Rattus norvegicus: one gene and its partners. The protein of the gene in region 1 purifies or fractionates together with the protein of each later gene. This does not show direct contact. Links are inferred from orthologs where the notes say so. Each region holds a gene or a part of one and is shown in the gene's direction. Other genes may lie near its edges. The genes, in order: Tmem43, Bzw2, Cul4b, Saal1 and Endod1.

Region 1 (4,099 bases):
GTATTCTCAAGAGTCCTCCCAACTCTTTCCTGCCTTGGGCACGTGCTTCATGAATACCAGAGTAAATGATGCCTGGTCTCTCAATTTACAAGAGTGGAAACTAGGGCCTGGAGGGTTTGGCAGCTCAAATATAAGGAGCCAGTTAGTGCTGGGAGGCCTTAGAGCAGACTGGTCTGGATTCTTCTGGGCTCCTGTCTATGGGTAATAGGTAGAGGAAGTGAGTGATCCTCAACGTGGCTAGAAATGACGGAAGAAAGCAAGTCCTTTCGTATAGGGCTCCAGTTTCATGACCTGATGTGGGCTCTTGGATCGAGTAACCTGTCCTAATTTACCGTTTGATAAAAATGTGGATAGTAAAAGAACCCGATATATAAAGACCGCTACGTGAAATTTAAAAGAGTGCCTAGTAAACAGGAGGAGCTCAATAAGTGCTCCTGCTAGTGGCACTTCAGCACACCCACTCAAGCCCAAGTGGTAATTTTCCGGGATATTTAAAAAGCCTAAGCGGGAGAGAAACATGTGGTGAGTGCGAGGAGCGACGGGGGCTGATTCCTAACAGTCCCCGATTTCCAGCCAGATACAACATACTCCACACTAGCAGGGCCCACGTGAGGGCCTCCGAGGCCCGAGTTCGGGCTTCACCTTGACCTTGGACCAGCCTCGTTCCTCACTGAGCCTCTGCCTTTCTCATTTGGAAACCGCCGCGTGAGGCCCACTAAAGGGCCCGCAGCCGCTCGATGGAAACCACTAGACCGCGTGTCTCTCGCAGGCCCGCGCCGGCCGGTCTCCATGGCAGCGCCCGACTCACCTTCCTGCCGGCAGTAGGACATGGTTGTTCTCAACGTTCCCAGCTCGCAGAGGGAGCAGGCGCGGCTACAGCGGCTACACCTTCTCGTTGTGACCTCCCTCGCCTCTTCTCAGGCCTGGCGGGTGGCACTGAGGCCCACACGGACCCGCCCCCTCCAGGCCTGCCCGCCGCGCGCCTGCCTCCGCTCGTCCTAAGCGCCAGCACCGCTTCTCAGTCGAAAATACATTGACCAGCAGCCTTTGCGCCCGCCAACTAAAGCTATACTACATTTCCCAGAAATCTTGCAGCGCGCACGCGCACCAGTGAAATATTGTGTTTTGTAATTTTGTGGTGAAAGCGTCCGACGTCCGACTACATTTCCCAGCAATCCTTGAGACGCGCATGCGCAGACAACTTGAGACGTAGGCGGGGCCGTAACTCTTATCCCGAGTCCCGCCAGGTCCTGGATTCCTCGAGGAGTCTTGCAGCTCTGTGGCAGACAGGACACCGTATTCTGCGTTCCGGTCGTCATCCCAATTCCTAGAGGAACAAAGCAAGACGGCGGCAGCGAACCAGGCCCACCATGGCAGCGAACGTGAGTGCTTCCTGATCCCCGGGTTACACCATTATCTGGGTCGTTTTTCCCCTAGGTTTGCGCTGGGTCCTTCGGCCTTGCGACCCCAGTGGGTGCGGCTGCCCTCAGCTCCCTGAACTCGTCTATCTCGGGCTGCACGTTTGTGGGACTCAGCTCTTAGTCGAATCCGCTCGTGCACGGCTGCTTCTTCCACTCCTAGTTTCTTTCTGGGCCCCTGGGGATATAAAACTTGTGGAACTGAAGGACCACGAGAAAAGTGTCTGTCGGTGAGCAGATTAAGGTGCTCCTGCCCAGGTGGAGCTGTCCAACAAAGGCTGCTTTGGTCTCCGCTCCCTAGGGGGTGTGTGCTCCTAGGCTGTGATGTAGCAGGACAAGCCTGGCTGGATGACCTAGAAAGGGAGGCTTTTCTCTACTGCTCGGTTCCTGGTGCACTGATTTGGGTAGAGACCCTGACTGAAGATAGTTGCCCCAGACCTCTGGCCATTTCCTACTGCAACTAGTCCTTAACTTTCCTAGTGAATCCTAACATTCATTCAACAAACGGAGCAACACCACCTACTAGGGGACTGGGTGTGGAAGAAGCTGGTGACTCATAAATGCCTCTGGTGAAAGCGCCTCTGGAACCAGCTCAGGAGCACTGCCAGCCCCAGTCACACCCTCTCTCCCTCCTTGGTAGAGTGTCATTGCAGCCATCCTTGGGCCTGTTACACCCTCTTCCCAGGCCCCTCCTCTGTCCTCAAACTTCTTGGCCTCCTACACCTCCTGGGAGATCAGAGTTTGTTTCACCCACTGTCCAAGCAATATCTGCTTGGCACATTGTCCGGCCCTAGAAGGGGAGGAGAACCAAAGGTTAGGAATGCTGCACTGGAACCAGAGGAGAAGGCAACCAGCAGGCCAGCCGGGCAAGAGTGGGCGGACCCCTTCGGATCCATATGTTCAACGTCAAATTTTACAGTTCCCCAGCAGAAGACACCTGCTTGGGGGCTTTTAGACAGTTTGGCTTGCTATATCATCAGCCTGGGAAGGTGCAGATGAGGGCAGGCTTTGGAGGCAAATCCAGATTCTTCCACTCTTAACAAGCCTCTGGGTTTACCCTCATGGGATCAGTTACTGTGAAATTTGAGGGAGGTTGCTGGGCACAGAGCCTGGTACATGGGAGGTGCTTAATCCTTGAAAAAGTCACACTTAGAGGCTAGTACACACAGCCCTGGTGGGCAGAAGCCATCTTGGGTCTGACTCTCACACCAACAAACAGACACAATGGATATCTTCAGTAAGCGTGCCTTTGTCCATCCATTGTTACGTGACTTTCCCGGGAAGACATGAACATTCATCCATGTCAGTCAGGATAATCATAGACCAAAGGAGCCATTGCACCAACTCCATCTTGGTGAACCATCTTGGGCTTACTCACAGGAGCGTGGGTATTACCAGAGTCCCACGCCGGCATGGGTGACTGCCTCTGGAAGGCTGCCTAGATGGAGGTGTGTGCCCTCCCTTCCACTAGCCCTCTGCCTCCTGTATCCTCTGCACACTGCTGGGGGTGGGACACAGAGGGAAGTGAGAAGCCAGAATCCCAGGCAAGGTTATAAAGATCCTCTTCTACTCTTCCAGGGAACGTGCCGCATAATGTGAGGGCTTCATTTGGGCAATCTAAGCTATTCCGATTTCAATATGACAGTGGCTCTGCCGTGCCTAGGGACGGTACCAGAGCATCCACGCAGTAGCTGAGTCACCAGGCAGGGTAAGCAAGGGAATCTTAAGACAGTGAGTGGAACAAAAGCCCCTGAATTCAGTATAACAACTTTCCTGTCAGGTAGGTGTTGTCACCAGCAAGTGAGGAACCAGAACCAGAAAGGCGGAGCACATGTTGCCAGGCTCATATAGCAACAGCTGGGACTCCAATCCTGGTGTGCCAATTTCCAGGCCCAGTGTGTTCCCACCCATTGCTTCATTGCTTGTTGATTCTGAGCCCGGTGTGCTGGAAGTGGAACACGTTACTGTGGATACATAAGTGTGTATACATATACACACACATATACACACAGGTGCTATTTCCCACCTCACCTCTCTCCCAGCTGGAGGGACGTCTTCCTGGTTTCCCTTCCTTCCTGGCCTTAAGGGGAGCCAGCAGGGATACACGTCTCCTTTTCCGTTGTTCAGCCTGAATTGCGCTAATCGATGAAGAAGACAGTCTAGGGTAGAGGGCCCTCCCTGCATTGCACACCCACTTACTACTTACAAGGTGTTGAACCAGGCTGATAACCTAAACAGTGGGTCTCGATTTCTTCTTCTGTGAAATGGGTAGTGGTAGCCTCTTTACCCTTGAGCCAGCCCATGATTGGCCTGTAACAAATGAGTATGTCATTTTGGGCATCTGCTGGCTTATGGCTGCCTTCTTGTCTGCAGTGGTTGTCTCCACTGAGTTTTATATGGTATTGTTCTGGATACCGTGGGTGTCCTCAGCAGGCCTGAGCCAGCAGTGGACAGCCGCCAGAAGTAGCATTAGCTCTGCTCAAGGATTCTGTCTCAAATCCATCCTCTGATCCTGGGCAGGAAGGGGCCTGGCTCTCTGAGGTGCCTGCCAGGTGACCACTTTGTATCTCTGTGACTTCCATCCACACCCACAGTCTGGGTGGCAGCTCCAGTTTCAATTGTGGAGAAATCTGATAATGTTCCTATTAGCCACAACTCCCACAGGTGCCTATGAGGCCCCA
Region 2 (3,515 bases), on another chromosome or scaffold:
TCTTCCCAGTGAACAGACAGAGTGTGGATCATTTCGCCAAGTACTTCACTGACGCAGGACTGAAGGAGCTGTCAGACTTTCTCCGAGTCCAGCAGTCACTGGGCACCAGGAAGGAACTGCAGAAGGAGCTGCAAGAGCGACTGTCTCAGGAATGCCCCATCAAGGAGGTAAGAGGCCGTGTAGTGAAGCCCTGCACAACACACACAGATACAGGGTAAGGATGGAGCCCGTCAGGGAGCTAGGAGACCACGGTGAACTCCAGTTCAACAAACATGGTTGATGGCTGTGGGTGTATTCAATGATAGAGCACCTGAAGAAGTATTCACTAGGCCATGGTTTACATCCCCAACGCATGCAAAAAACTATGCATGCTAGCGAGGGTGTGCGTGTGTGCGTACGTTCGTGTGTAGAATTATATAGGTCATATAACATAAGCTTCCCCTGTTGTGGTAAATTCCCCAGCCCAAATAAGCCGTTGAAAAGAAAACGCAACTCAATATGAATACAAGCTGTGCACCTAGATTGGGCAGATCTAACACTGCACTGCTCTATTCCCCAGCTATGAGATCTCTTATCACTTGCAGTTTCTCCAGGCCTCATGCTTCAGCTCCATCTTCCTCCCTCCTCCTCTTCCTCTTCCTCTTCTTCCTCCTCTTCCTTCTCCTCCTCTTCCTCCTCTTCCTCCTCCTCCACCATCCCTTTTCCCCCTCCCCTCCCCAACTCCACCTTTCCTTTCCCCTGCCTAATCACCAGCTCTAGCCTTTATTTTACAAGTTAAAATGGGGAGAAGGTCCTGACCTCTCCTAGGCAGCCCCTCTTGGGGAAGAGTAATTAGCATCAAAATATGAACAGCACCAGGGCAACCCGCCTTCCCCTCCCTCGCCTTCCCGTCCCTCCTATGTGTTACCATACACTATTCCCTTGCTCCTAACATTGAAGTTGGCTCAAAGTACTGACTCAAAATCCTATTTTGTTATATTTGGGAGTATTCTAGAAACTGACGTTATTTTGGCTCACACTGCTCATTTTCACCAGGCTGCCATGATTATCAAACGGTTTTGTCAACACGCAGACTTGGCGCTCTGCTGGTAAAATCTCCCACACAGTGATGATTTCCGTTGAACTGTCGATTCTCTACCTGGTGCGAGCATTAACTAGCACTTAGTGTCAAGGCGTGGGCATTTTGCATCACTGGGTATGAATGTGTTGCTTGTTTCTATTTTCATGGCCCCTGGAGTCAAACCCAGGACCGTGTGCATACACAGCAAGAGCCCCACCATTGGGCTATATTCCAGCGTCTTTGAAGAAGAAAACACAAATCCACACAGGGAAAGATCAGTTGGGCCAGCATCTTATGTACCCCATTATAAGAGCTCTGTAAAGGCTACCGGTTTTGGAACCGTGCTTAAGCATGGTTTGCCATGTGTTAGAGAGCAATGACTGTCTACACATCTGGAAAGGCATTGTTTAAGCTGAAAGAAAAAACCACCCTTTCTACATGATAAACTCAAACTTTAGCTGGGGAGTCCTCCTCCTACTCCCAAATCCTTGAGTTTCAGCTGTATCTGCTGTACTCTGAGCCTTACCTGGCTTCTCGAGAGAGTGGGGGCTGGAGAAGCTCAAACTGCTAACTGTCCACCAGGTGGAGGTGTTAGAACAACAGACGCTCTTTCAGCCTGCAGCCTGCAGCAGCTGCAGCCATTTTCTTCAAACTAGAGCTGTGCTTGACTCTCATACGCACAGAGTGAGGTGTGAGCTACAAGGAAAACCACAGTGATGGTTTTAGATGCAGCAGTCCCTGTTCCTAGTCATTCGAGGGTCCCAGGCAGGTCTGAGTCTCGGGTTGCCACTTCTCTCTAAAGGTACCCAGCCAGTCCTCTGTTTCTGAAGTTCAGGAGTAAAGAAAACAGTTATCTTCTCACCATAAGGGAGGGGAATGGATGTATTGCTAATTGCAGAATACACTGGATTGACGTGAATCGAGGAAAGAAAGTGACAGGATTTGGGGTGTGGCTTGTTTGGTACATAGGAGCCTTCAGTTCAATGTCAGTGCCTCATAAACCAGGTATGGTAGCTAATCTCAGCAGCTAGGTGGTGAGGAGAGGAGCAGTAAGTTCAAGGTCACCCTCGTGTATTTATCAAGGTTCCCTGTCTGGAAATTGGGGAGGGGAAGGAGGGAGGTGGTGCCTTTGCGTTCAGGTTCTTTACCTATTGGCTCTTCACTGGGATGGGGCGGGAGAGTCATCTCAAGAGCAGGACTGAAAGGATAAACATCAAGAAGTTTAATTTTAAGCAACAGAAAAATTCACAGAGCTGTTGCTTACTTCGCACCCATGATAAGTCAGCCTGACTCAAATGCCCTACTCTGCTGGACCCAAAGGGTTCCCCCATAGAATGGTTGTCCAGGAAGCTAAGCCTTTCTCTTACTCTATGTCATCTAGCAGCTTCTATACTTCTCATTTATCATTGGAGGATGTGTATTAGGGATGGAGAGGCTGAACCCAGGATTTTCCACCCTGCCCCAGGCCGTGGAGAGGAATAGCCCCAGCATTTATGGTTGCTCAGTTGTTCCTCTCCGACTCTTTTCCATGAAACGTAGGTGGTGCTTTACGTCAAAGAGGAAATGAAAAGGAACGACCTTCCGGAGACAGCTGTGATCGGGCTGCTGTGGACCTGCGTCATGAACGCTGTGGAATGGAACAAGAAGGAGGAGCTGGTTGCTGAGCAGGCTCTTAAGCACCTGAAGGTAACGGGCGTTTGAAGGGAACCAGCTCTGAGGCGGGTCAGCTGCACCTCCTGACGGTGTGGCGGGTAGAGCCAGCGCATCCCTGAAACCCCAAGCACTGAGAAGGTGGCGTCATGCAGATCAGTTCTAGGCCCGTCCTGGCTACGTGAGACCCTGTCACAAATAACGAGAAACGAAAGAGCTAGTGAATGCAGAGCCCATTTCCCCAGAGCCAACCCTGGCTACGTCATTTTCCTTCTCAAATCTGCCGCTGCCTAAAATGTTTAGGCATGAAACATCTCCAGATGGGTTCTCGTTAAAAGACATCGGAAATATACAGTCACCTGTAGCGTCATACGTTAACAAGAAATGTGAGCTAATTATCGACTGTGTTCCATAGGGAAAAATAGAAGCCAGAATCTTTGATTTAAGTAAGCTATGAATAGACATTAGGATTAGAGAAGTAAATTGACTGTGTCGGTTGACTATTTTGAGGTACAGCATGCCCTGGCACTATGGCGAGCAGAAACAGTAGGAGATCTTGCATGGAGAATTCAGTTAGGAAGTCGAGGTCAGAATGTGACCTAAGTGGTCATAGACGACTTTCAGTGTCTCTGAGGTCGGGGGAAGAAACACTGTTCCAGATGGGAACGTCTCTATGAAAGGGAAGTGAGTAGGTCTTAGAAAAAGCTCTCTAGCACTAACGGAAAGTCAAAGATATCTGGGATTCAGGAATAACAGAAAGAGATCCTTCAGGTGGCTTGCAGTGCCTGGGACACAGGGAAGGAGA
Region 3 (3,515 bases), on another chromosome or scaffold:
TAACTTGTTATTTTTGTTTGTAAGTAAATATTATTTGTTTAGATTTTCCATTTCCTTCAGAGACAACTGTACCTTTTGTGACTGTTAAGTACATGTGCCAACTTTAAATATGACTTGGTGAATATTTTCACTGTAGAAAAAAATCAATTACCATAAAATTACACCATCTCCATTTTCAGGCTTTTGGAAGTACCATTGTTATTAATCCTGAAAAAGATAAAACTATGGTTCAAGAATTATTGGACTTTAAAGATAAAGTTGACCATATAATTGATACCTGCTTTCTGAAAAATGAAAAATTTATCAATGCCATGAAAGAAGCATTTGAAACCTTCATTAATAAAAGACCAAATAAGCCAGCTGAACTGATAGGTATGTTTCATATTCTTTTGTGGTTGTGTAATGTTCTTTTATTGATAAACTCATATTGATAATCATATTGTACCCATTCCTGGTTTGTTTGATGTCGCTTAGCCTGTCAAGCTGAACAGCATCTCAGTCTTCATGTCAAACAGGATATAAACTCTATGTGAGGTAGAACGTAGAACCCTGTTTACTTTTACTGAGTAAGCATGATTCTGTGCTTTGCAAGCCTATAGTGATTGAGACATGGGACAGAGTAATATTGTCTAAAGGTCTCCAGTTATAGCTACAGGAAAAGGGTAGCATGAAATTCCAATGCAAATGAATAAAGTCTAGGATGAAAATAAATCTAATGATACAGGCTTACTGAGTATACAAGTGTGTTGCAGTGTTCTCAAGCAAGGTTCCTACACATGCACTCATTGTTAGGAGTATATGTGCCCTAGAAAACGAGGTCCTCTGAAAGGATGGAGTTTGGTTTGTTTTCTAATTTTATTTAAATTTAAACATTTTATAAATTGTGCCTTCTGCTCTGTTTCTGGTTTATTCAAATAACAAAAGTAATGTTTAAGAATACTGACCCTCTGTGTAAAATAGAAACTTTAGAGAGTACCCGTGTTTTCTGGTGACTTTGACTCCACAAAGGGCAACTTGGAGCCTCCACCACGAGCTGTCTCTACCTCATTTTAAATTTTGCTTTTCTTTCCTTTTTTTTTAAACTGTGAAAGTGAGGGCTTGAACCCAGGGACTCTACCACAGTGCTCTATATGTAGCCCTTCCGTATTATACTAGAAAGTATATTCAGTCTGGAGTCCGATTTAATGTATTTAGGTTGTGGTATTTATTAGCCCTGTGACATTGACAAGTTAACTTGATCTTCCTTTTGTTGTAGGCCATAAAATGCATGTACATATAGCAGAAATACTGAAAGAGAGTTAGTATTTTATAGTCCTGTTTGGGTTTGTGTAGTGGTCAGTACCTTTCAGACACCCATGGTTGCTAAACTACAATTTTTCTCTATTTTAGCTAAGTATGTGGATTCAAAACTTCGTGCAGGCAACAAAGAAGCTACAGATGAAGAGCTTGAGAAAATGTTGGATAAAATAATGATTATATTTAGATTTATCTATGGTAAGTGTTGATTACTGCTTTCATGTTTTTCTTTTAAAACAAAGCACTCTGAGCCAGGCATAGTGATCCACAATCCTGCAATCCACAATTCAGGAGGCTGAAGCACTATTGCTGTGTAGGCCACATAGAATCAGACCAGCTAGGGCAACATAGCAAGGCACTCCTATAGGAACTAAAAAACTCTTATATAACCCGGGGAGACTTTGAGACCTATAGGTTATATTTTACTTATTGCATATTTTGGATCCTTAAGAAGAGTTGAGGAATGTAACTAAATTGCCTGTGTTTTGACCTTTGCACTATTAAGAACCTGGGATTTTACTGCTTGTTTTAATCTCTGAGTTTTGGTGCTAACAGTACCAATGTACTAAAGTTGTTTTTTTTCCAGAAAAATAGTTAATACAGTCTTAATTTTTTATAATAAAAAACTTTTGAAATACCTGGCACAGACATGGACCTCCAGTGTTCCTGAGTTTAATAAACTTGGATAAAATGTATAAAATTAAATAACTTGGCATGTTACAATAAGCTTTTTAAAGCCATTTTCTTACAGCTTTACTTGGCATATCATGAATGTTATCTTTTCTATTTAATACAGGCAAAGATGTTTTTGAGGCCTTCTATAAGAAAGACTTAGCCAAACGCCTATTAGTTGGCAAGAGTGCATCAGTGGATGCTGAAAAATCAATGCTGTCCAAACTGAAACACGGTATGTTTCTCAGTCTTCTTTTTTAATATCAGCTTTTTCTTTTTTTAATATTTGAGGTAAATAATGGCTTAATTATGTTCCTTTCTTTTATATACACATGATGAAAATATAAATTGACAGGATGGGGAGGATGATTCAGAGGGTAAGAGGTCTTTGTGCACAAACATGAGGACATGAGTTTGAATCCATAACACCCTTGTAAAAAATCATATGTATAAGTCCACTAGCTAGGGGTAGGGTAGGAGTAGAGAACAGGAGGATCTTTGGGGATTCCTGGACACCAGACTAGCTCTGGGTTCAAAGATAGACCCTATTTCAAAGGAATAAGGTATACTGTGGTAGAGGAGTACAGCCAATGACCTCTGACTTGGACATGCATATTGTCCATACCTGTACACACTTACCCCAACACACACACACACACACACACACACACACACACACACACACACAAAGTGAGGTATGAGAGTCCTAGCCTCTTGCTGATAGCCACAATTATTGTATTGTTTTAAAGATAAAGAATTATTCTTTTGTTTATTTGTATAAAATTTGCCAACTATCCTATACCTGGATTAAAGAGTTTACCTCTGAATTGCTAGGGCACGCTGAGAGGTAAGACTTTTCATTCTTACAAGTGGATACAGATCATATTTTATGCCCAAGTTGAGTTTTGTATTTTATTTTCTGATTTTAATTTTTGTTTGTTGTACTACCTTGGAATATAAATCTGTAAACCTCTTTAACAGAATGTGGAGCCGCTTTTACCAGCAAGCTTGAAGGCATGTTTAAAGACATGGAGCTTTCTAAAGATATCATGATCCAGTTCAAACAGGTAAAAGTGGGTTAAACTCTTAACTCCCTAAACTTAAGGATACTTATGTCCTTGCGGCAGTTTGTATTGAAGAAGATAAATAGAAACCCATATTTTTTTTACAAACACTTCATGGCAACTTAAATTAACAGTTCAGTATAGGGAAAAGGTCATCAATGAATTTTAAGTATATTTGGCCTACTTCAGGATTAAGTCATAATTAACATCCAGAATAAGACAGAAGCATAAGTAAAATGTATTAGATTAAAGTTAGTATTAGAAGACTTATACTTACACGGTAAGAGCAGGGATTTTCTAATCAGTTGGAGGATTTTTATTTCAGAGCCTGTCATGGGGATAGAGGTGAGGCGATCAAGGATGAGGGTGGTATATGCTGTCTCTGTTGACATTTGGGATGAGAATTGGATCTATAGTTTTGAAGACATAAATAGAAGGTTTTAAAATATTGTAAAAACATAAACAACCAGATGTAGTTTGTGT
Region 4 (3,515 bases), on another chromosome or scaffold:
GTTAAAGTCATTTCATTTTTAGGTCATTACCCCTTTAATTACCTACTTTCCTCCCAGACCAGTATTCCTTGTGAAGGTGGGGGTAGCATCTTAATACCCTCTGCCTTCCTGGCCCCTGGCAGTAAGTGCCCCAAATGATAGATATTTGCACCAGCACAGCTAAACCAGTACTTGCCCCCCTCTTCACTTAATTGTCTGGTTGAAGAAGCAGCATTTTGGGCTGGAGAGATGGCTCAGCCGTTAAAGGCTAGGCTCACAACCAAAAATATAAGAAGCAGCATTTTGAGTTCTAAGAATACAAAGTGTTGAGCAGAAGAGAGCCTCAGTACCATGGTGCCTGGTGCCGTAGGCCTCATATCCCTCCCATGAAAAAATCTCAGTATCACACACGTGTGCATTCACACACACTCACACACTCAGACTCACTCTCACACACTCACCCTCATTTACACACGTCCCATATACATTCACACACTTATTCACAGACATACATGCACACACATACTTACATACATGTTTACACACATATACTCACACGCACGCACACTTGTTCACACATACACCTCACACACTTCCACACTCACAGACAGACACAGACACACCCCCTTTTTTTCTGTTTTCCCCATTCCAATGGAGGTGCTAGTGAGCGGAGTCCGTATGGTTGTCTGTTCCACACCTGCTGAGAGAGGGAATGACTGAGCCAGTGAAGTTACGAGTGCTTTTGCTGTTTCTGTCCGCTCAGTTCTGAAAACCTGGAAGGGCTGGATGTTTATATGCACGTCCTACAGCTGCTCACCACGGTGGATGATGGGGTTCAAGCAATCGGTAAGGCCGTTTCTTGGCGCTCACTGAAGTTGCTCATTTAAGTGTTCATTAGCTTTAAAATGACTACTTTTTAAAAACGTTTCTTAAGTGCAGTGTCCTGATACTGGGAAAGACACATGGAGTTTGCTTTTTGACCTGGTGTGCCACGAATTCTGCCAGCCCGATGACCCGCCCGTCATCCTGCAGGAGCAGAAGACAGTGCTAGCCTCTGTCTTCTCAGTGCTGTCTGCCATCAGTGCCTCACGGGCCGAACAGGAGCACCTGAAGATAGAGGAAGGCAAGTGAGGTGTCACCACGCTGGACTGGTGCCCACCAGATCGCCAGGGCCAGGCGGCATGCGCTGTCGCTGGGTTTCTCTCTCACCTTTTCTCCTCAGAAAGAAAGTATCATTATTCAGGACCCTAGTCACATAAAATATTAGATACAAAACATATGGGAATGTTTATAAAAGGCATTGAGGAGAGGTGTGGGGTGCAGCTCCAATGGGGTGCAGCTCTAATGGGGTGCTTGCTTAGCATGAGCGCAATCCTTGTTCAGTCCCCAGCACCGAAAAGAAAGCAGCACCAAATGGCGTGGTCAATCCACAGGTACCCCTTGCTTTACCATGAATACATCCTAATGTCCTCTGCATTTTATTAATTGCACTGCTGAGCTCACAGATCAGCCGCCACAGGGCTTTAGGGCATCTAGTAAGGACCGCTTTAGGGCATCTAGTAAGGACCGTGTCTCTTCAGTCTGATGTCTCTGTTTTTGACGGCGTGGGCAGCTTTGACTTGTTTAGTGCAGAGCCCCAAGTGCTTGCTGATCTTTAAGTGGGGCTGCGTTGAGCATGGGCTGTGTCGAGGAGGGAGTGCACTGTGTAGGCCTGCCCGTCTCAGAAGCCGTTCTGTGCTCAGTCTACAGACCTCGTAATATTTGTGTTAGGTTTATTCCCAGACATTTTATCTTTGGATAGCTGTTCTCTGTCACATACTTTCTTCTCACTATTGTTGGGCTTTATGAAGCTGTTGATTTGTATATTAATTTTGATTCTAGCACCCTTACTGACTTGCCAGTAGTTTGACTTTGCTGTGCTTAGGGTTCGACCCATGGCCTTGCATACGTAGGTGGACATCCTGTCACTGAGCTGTATCCATTCCCTGTCTTGTTGCTCTTGAATTCTATCTGCCTGCCTGCCTGCCTGCCTGTCTGTATGTATGTCTAATGTGTATAGGTGTTTTGTCTGCATACATGTGTGTGTGTGTGTGTGTGTGTGTGTGTGTGTGTGTGTGTGTATGTATGTTTGTATGTATGTGTGTGTGTGTGCACCAGCTGCCTCGTGTCTATGGAAGCCAGAAGAAAGTGTTGGATCCCCTGGGAAAGGCTTATGAGCCATCATAGGGGAGCTGGGATTTGAACCAGGGTCCTATGGAAGAGCAGTCAATGCTCTTAACCACTGAGTCATCTCTCCAGCCTTTGTCTTACAGTTTTTAGTAATAGGTTCCACGATAATCCTCAACTTTATCTGAAGTTACACGTACTTTGTCATATTTTTTTGTCTGACTTCTTTTTCTTATCTAAGTGTGTTGCCTAGTGTCTCTGGTGTTTTAAATACCTGGTGGGAAACTCTCGTCTTCTTCTGACTCTGTAGGTAATGTCTCAAGAGCTTCACCCTTTAGTGTTACTGGGCATAAAGTGCTTGTTTTTTCCATTCGAGGATGTTTTGACATTTTCCTGTTTTAATATATATATTTTTCAACAAGTAAGCACTGTTTATATTTAAGGAGGGGTTATTAGTAAGTTATTTCTCTGCCAGTGAAATCCAGTGAAAAGCCAGGTTAGAGTATATTAAATGTTGGTGTATTGGGAAGATGCTCTCAGACGAGTTCACTGGCCCCAAAGACCAAGGCCAGGGAAGTCACCATGGGGGGAGAGTTAGGTGGTGGGAGGGGGAAGAGAAAGAGAGAAAGGGTGTGCATGCAGGGTGAGAACAGAGACAGAAAAGGGGACCAAAGTGTCTGGATTATACAGGGAGGAGCCTCTGGGGGAAGGGCAGCCCAGCTCCTGGACTAGAGAGTTCAAGGTTGGGGGCGGGGTGTGCCAGGGAGGGACTGAGAGATTCTGGGAGAACCCGGAGGCCCAGTCTGCTTTGGTAGGTAAGGTAGGCAGCTCAGTCCTGTTTGAGGGTCTGAAACTTGTTGACAAGTGACACTGAACAGCCTGGGGGAGCTGGTGGAGGTCGTCATGTGGAAGCTCAGGAGGAGTCTGCACATGGAGACTAAGGGCACTGTGTACTGTGTGTTGGAGTCTCCATACGGCTAGGGTGGCCTCTGAGTGAAGAGAAGTAGTGCAGCTGCTGGGGAGTAGAGTGCAGGGCAGGACCTCGGCCGTGGGTGAGGCAGGGAGCCATGGAAGGCTCAGGTTGACTAGATGTGGCTGATTGTGATGCCCATGGGCTGGTAAGCGTAGGGAGTCATGAGTAAAAAGGGAGAAGGGGGGCAGGCTGTGTGGCATCAGAACAAGCAAGGCTCTAGCTTTGATCAAGGCAGGAACAGTAGCAGTGAGGGAGGATACTACCAGATGGTCACTTTAGGGATAGGAAGAGTGGTGGTTTCTGTGCATGCGTGCGTGCGTGCGTGCGTGTGTGCATCTGTCTGTCTGCCTGTCTGCCTGTCTGTCTGTCTGTGTGTATGTGTGTGATGACTGGCTTT
Region 5 (4,055 bases), on another chromosome or scaffold:
CCACTAAGCCATCTCCCGGACTGGTTTTGCTTTTCATTCCTTCTGGGCCACTCCAGTACAGCAGTCTTATTAACTCAGGAATATGATAGAAAGACCTAAACGCTCAGTGATATATTTTATTGGTTTGTTCGCGTGTTTGTTTTTTGAGACAGGGTCTTGATGTGTAGTCCAGGCTGGCCTTAAACTCTGTTTTCCTGGCCCCTACTCTCTAGTGCTGGAATTACAAGCCCGAATCACCCTTCTTGGTTCCTTAACCTAGTGCATATTATTGTTTCCAAACTTCAGTTTATAATCTGTTAGTGGCTTAGAGAAAACATTTAAGTCACCCACTGTCTTTTTTGTTTTGTTTTGTTTTTAAATTAATTCATTCATTCATTTTGAGACAAGGTCCAAGAAGCCCATCCTGCCTTTGAGCTCCTGGTCCCTCTGCCTCTACCTCCCTATTACAGGAATAACATGCACACACACCGCGGCTAGTTATATACTGTCCAGGGGGCGGGGCCCGGGACTTCCTACAAACTAGACAGGCGCTCTGCTCACTCCAGGCAGATTCTTCTGCTCTTTATCCCACCAGCCTGCCTCAAGTTCCTCCCTCATTCTTTTCCTTTCTGGGAAAGTCTAGCTTGGGGCTGCCTTCCTCCGGTGTCAGTTCAGAGACCATCTTTTCGGGCCAACTTCCTTACACTGTATCCTAAAGTCCCGCAGGAGTCACGCAATGGACTAACAGTGGGTTTTCAATGACTCCGTGAACTGCATTTTTAAAGATTAATAATAAGCTCACCAAACAGAGATCCTGCTCTTGTTGGTTATCACTATACTAACTCGAGGGGGGGGGGGTGTACGGAGGCATGTGAGCAGTGGGATGAATAAAGGGTGTTGGCTGTTTGGTTCCCTTCTGAGTTTCGGTTTGATGTCTAACCCTCATACCAAGAAAACCACAGCGGGCCTGTGCCGTCTGCCTAAGAACTTCCTTTAGCAAGTGTTTGTTTGTTTGTTTATATTTGAAGCAGGGTCTTACAGAGCCCTGTTTAGCTATGAATTACAGAGCCCTCTGCCTCTACCAACATGACTGGCTTTAACCGGGTTTCTTAACTGGGGTCTGATGCGGAAGGGCAGGCACTGTCTACTCTGCGGGCATCCCCCGCCTCCATGCATCCCGGAGGAACCTGGTGCACGCAAGGTCCGGCTTCTCCGCGCCAGCCCTGGGGACCGTCCCTTGGGCTAAGTCAGACCAGCGCAGAGCGGGAGGTCTGGCACACAGCAGCGCCGCGGCAGGTGTCCGGTCTCCAGGGGCGGTGCAGCCGCAGAAAGCTGGGGCCCAGCACTGCAGCCATCTTCGGGGTGGAGGCGGAGAAGGGGCGCGGCCTTGGCCCGGAGCCGCCCTGCCGGAGCGGCGCACCGCGGACTTCCCTGCTCCCGCGGCGCCCGGCCGCGCAGAGGCCGCCATGGGCTGTGCGCGCTGGCTGGCGCTGGGCGGCCTCCTGGCCCTGCTGGGGCTGCTGCAGGCCCGGCTGCTGCTCCCGCAGCAAGCGGGCTTCGGCGAGTGCGACCGCTTTTTCTACGCGGGGACCCCGCCCGCCGGGCTGGCGACCGAGGCGCACGTGAGGATCTGTCAACGCTTCGCGGGCTCCGAGCGCTTCGCCACTCTGTACAGCCCGGGCCACCGCATCCCCGTGTTCTCCGCGTTTCGCGCTGCGCGTCCCGCGTCCCGCAGCGCCGAGCAGCGCGGGCTGCTGGAGCCGCAGGTAAGCAGGGCTCGGTCGGAGGGGAATCTGAGGTTCAGACCCACCCCGGCGACTCCCCACCCCCCAATTGCAGCCTGCCTTGTCCTGGTGGGAGTCTCCACTTAAGCCGCAGGGGCGGGAGGTTCCCTGGAGAGATGGCCCTCCCTCCTCTTGGGCGCAGACATCTGCAGTGTCTGGTTGGTTTCCTGGGTAGTAGAGAACACGGACTGGGAGACAGCCCTTGGTGGCCTGAAACCAGGCATATCCGCGGGAAGCACAGCTTCTCAAGCCCGCCTCCTGTCCCCCTAGCAACATTCGGGGCGGTGGGCAAGTTCACCCCATTTTACTGGGAGCAGCTCCAGGCAAGGAGGGTGGAGGAGCTTGCAGAAGACCACCCAGCTGGTGAGATGAGCGAGCCGGTCTTGAGGCTAAAAAATCACTGCCCTTTCTGCTAAGGGGAAAGCTTCTGTTAGTGCATGGACTTTGAGAAGTTCAGTGGGACTTTGTTCACGCAGAAAGGACAAACCAGTTTTTCCTGACTCTTCGTTATCTACAGATTATCAAACCATTGCAATCAAGTCACCTTTGACAGACAGTGTTGGGTCTGTCTGGTGGCAGGGGTCAAACAAGGAGAAAGGCCATGCAGAACCTGCTGACTGATTCCCCTGCAGGTCTCCTCCGTAAGACACCCTGACCTGCCCCTCTTTGACTTCTCCCCAGCCTTCTGGCCCTGTGTGTCCCATAGCTTTTGGTTCGTGCGGATCACCAATACAAACCTTCTGGCTTTCAGGTGTCTCCGCCTGAAAGTGTGGGTTGTACCTGCACCACACTTCCAGCTGCCACTGGCCAGGCAGGTTTCAGGCGATCTGCACCAATATTACCTTCTTACATCCTTCCATGTCCAGCGGCCTGCTGTAGGGACCTTTGAGCTCAGGCCAGGAGAAAGAGGTATTAGCTTGTGCGTATAGGGAAGGCACATGTTAATCTAAACTTACTTTCCCCCAGTGTACCCTTAGAAGTGCTTTATGTTTCCCCAGTCTGGGAAGAAAGCAGCAGACAAACGCTCACAGGGTGAAGTCCTGAGAATTCACCTGCACCTCCCTTCGTGCATTCAAATCCTGCTTCCTCTAGACTAGCTGTTGACCCTGTTGACGGGTGAGGGCTCCAGGAGTACATAGTGGGGTTAAATGAGTTCCTATATGTGAAGTTCTCCAGAGACCCATAAGTACTAGCTGCCGTTGTGTTGCTCACAAAACACATAATTTAACCTAGGTAAACAGATTCCTGTTAGAGTCTGTTTGTAAGGTGATAGGGAAAAACTTAGGGTCTGGTTGGCATTTGTGCCAAGTGTGGAAGGATTAGCAGGGTTCAGAAGGGAGAAGAAGACGGAATTTCAGACTGGTTTTGTATGAAATGGGCGTGGCAGATGCTTGGATCACTGCTTGGGAATGAGTGGGGCAGGTAGACTAATACTGGATTATGAGTCCCAAGGAATCAGAATAAAGGGGAATTGTGGGAGGGAGGAGCAGGTGAAGGAGTCATCCGAGGAGACTTAGGCAGAGCCTTGGACCTGTTATTAAGAGAGTCATAAGGAACAGGCTTTGACAGAGAGGCTGTGGAGACCCTGGGTGGAGAAATGGGCGCGCCTGAGAGGTCATCGTGGAATGCTGGGTAGTTCTGAAGGGCAGCTGGAGCTGAAGACGGTCTGACTTCTGGAAAGTGCTCTGTGGCTCAGAGGGCAGAGTGTTTGCCTGGCATGCACCTAGCCATACTTATTTTATCCCCAATACTGCATAAAATGAGGGTCACCCATATAGTCCCAGCACTGAGGTCAGAATGTCAAGGTCATCCTCAGGCCGTATAGTGAGTTCTAGCCCAGCCTGGGCTATATGAGACTGTCTTAGAATAAACAAGTTCAGCGCCCCACACCCCTGGAGAGTTGCCAAGGCTGAGAACTGAGGCTGCTTTTCCCTACAAGATGGTGGGCTCCACAGTACCCTACCTTGAATTCAGCAAGGGGATCCAAAGAACACTGAAGGGAAAGGAGGGGGAGGAGATGGACGGAGAAGGGAGGGGAGGGGAGGAGGCAGAAATGCAGGTGACCTCTGGAGCCATTGCAGCAGGCTGCCCCTGCTTCTGTTTCAACACCAGCCTCTCAGCCTCTCAGCCAGTGCCTGAACTGTAAGTCCTGCTCGGGGCTCCGTGTGCTTCTAGATGCTTCCAAGGAGTTTCTATTGGCAAGTCGTCGGTGCCCAAATCATCTTATGAAGTCAGTGTGATCAAGAGGTCCAGGAGGAAGACAGGGAGTTCAGTGCTGGACAATGAGTCAGG

The links.
Region 2: the proteins of Tmem43 (region 1) and Bzw2 purify together in Homo sapiens (affinity purification with mass spectrometry; 3 studies listed by BioGRID and IntAct, counting the BioPlex papers as one, with this or other methods). This does not show direct contact. The link is inferred for Rattus norvegicus from reciprocal best matches to the Homo sapiens genes TMEM43 and BZW2.
Region 3: the proteins of Tmem43 (region 1) and Cul4b purify together in Homo sapiens (affinity purification with mass spectrometry; 3 studies listed by BioGRID and IntAct, counting the BioPlex papers as one, with this or other methods). This does not show direct contact. The link is inferred for Rattus norvegicus from reciprocal best matches to the Homo sapiens genes TMEM43 and CUL4B.
Region 4: the proteins of Tmem43 (region 1) and Saal1 purify together in Homo sapiens (affinity purification with mass spectrometry; 3 studies listed by BioGRID and IntAct, with this or other methods). This does not show direct contact. The link is inferred for Rattus norvegicus from reciprocal best matches to the Homo sapiens genes TMEM43 and SAAL1.
Region 5: the proteins of Tmem43 (region 1) and Endod1 purify together in Homo sapiens (affinity purification with mass spectrometry; 3 studies listed by BioGRID and IntAct, with this or other methods). This does not show direct contact. The link is inferred for Rattus norvegicus from reciprocal best matches to the Homo sapiens genes TMEM43 and ENDOD1.

The regions. Positions count from the first base shown.
Region 1 is NC_086022.1:125,533,559-125,537,657, forward strand, and holds the start of Tmem43 (transmembrane protein 43), read left to right. Parts: upstream 1-1,285; 5' UTR 1,286-1,370; coding exon 1,371-1,382; intron 1,383-4,099. Other genes in the region: Chchd4 (mitochondrial intermembrane space import and assembly protein 40), read right to left, coding at 809-830. UniProt on the Homo sapiens protein: May have an important role in maintaining nuclear envelope structure by organizing protein complexes at the inner nuclear membrane. Required for retaining emerin at the inner nuclear membrane.
Region 2 is NC_086024.1:58,567,377-58,570,891, reverse strand, and holds part of Bzw2 (eIF5-mimic protein 1), read left to right. Parts: coding exon 1-167; intron 168-2,599; coding exon 2,600-2,746; intron 2,747-3,515. UniProt on the Homo sapiens protein: Translation initiation regulator which represses non-AUG initiated translation and repeat-associated non-AUG (RAN) initiated translation by acting as a competitive inhibitor of eukaryotic translation initiation factor 5 (EIF5) function.
Region 3 is NC_086039.1:122,164,791-122,168,305, reverse strand, and holds part of Cul4b (cullin-4B), read left to right. Parts: intron 1-179; coding exon 180-372; intron 373-1,389; coding exon 1,390-1,494; intron 1,495-2,092; coding exon 2,093-2,203; intron 2,204-2,949; coding exon 2,950-3,035; intron 3,036-3,515.
Region 4 is NC_086019.1:106,340,324-106,343,838, reverse strand, and holds part of Saal1 (protein SAAL1), read left to right. Parts: intron 1-742; coding exon 743-825; intron 826-913; coding exon 914-1,102; intron 1,103-3,515. UniProt on the Homo sapiens protein: Plays a role in promoting the proliferation of synovial fibroblasts in response to pro-inflammatory stimuli.
Region 5 is NC_086026.1:19,517,208-19,521,262, reverse strand, and holds the start of Endod1 (endonuclease domain-containing 1 protein precursor), read left to right. Parts: upstream 1-1,255; 5' UTR 1,256-1,445; coding exon 1,446-1,745; intron 1,746-4,055. UniProt on the Homo sapiens protein: May act as a DNase and a RNase. Plays a role in the modulation of innate immune signaling through the cGAS-STING pathway by interacting with RNF26.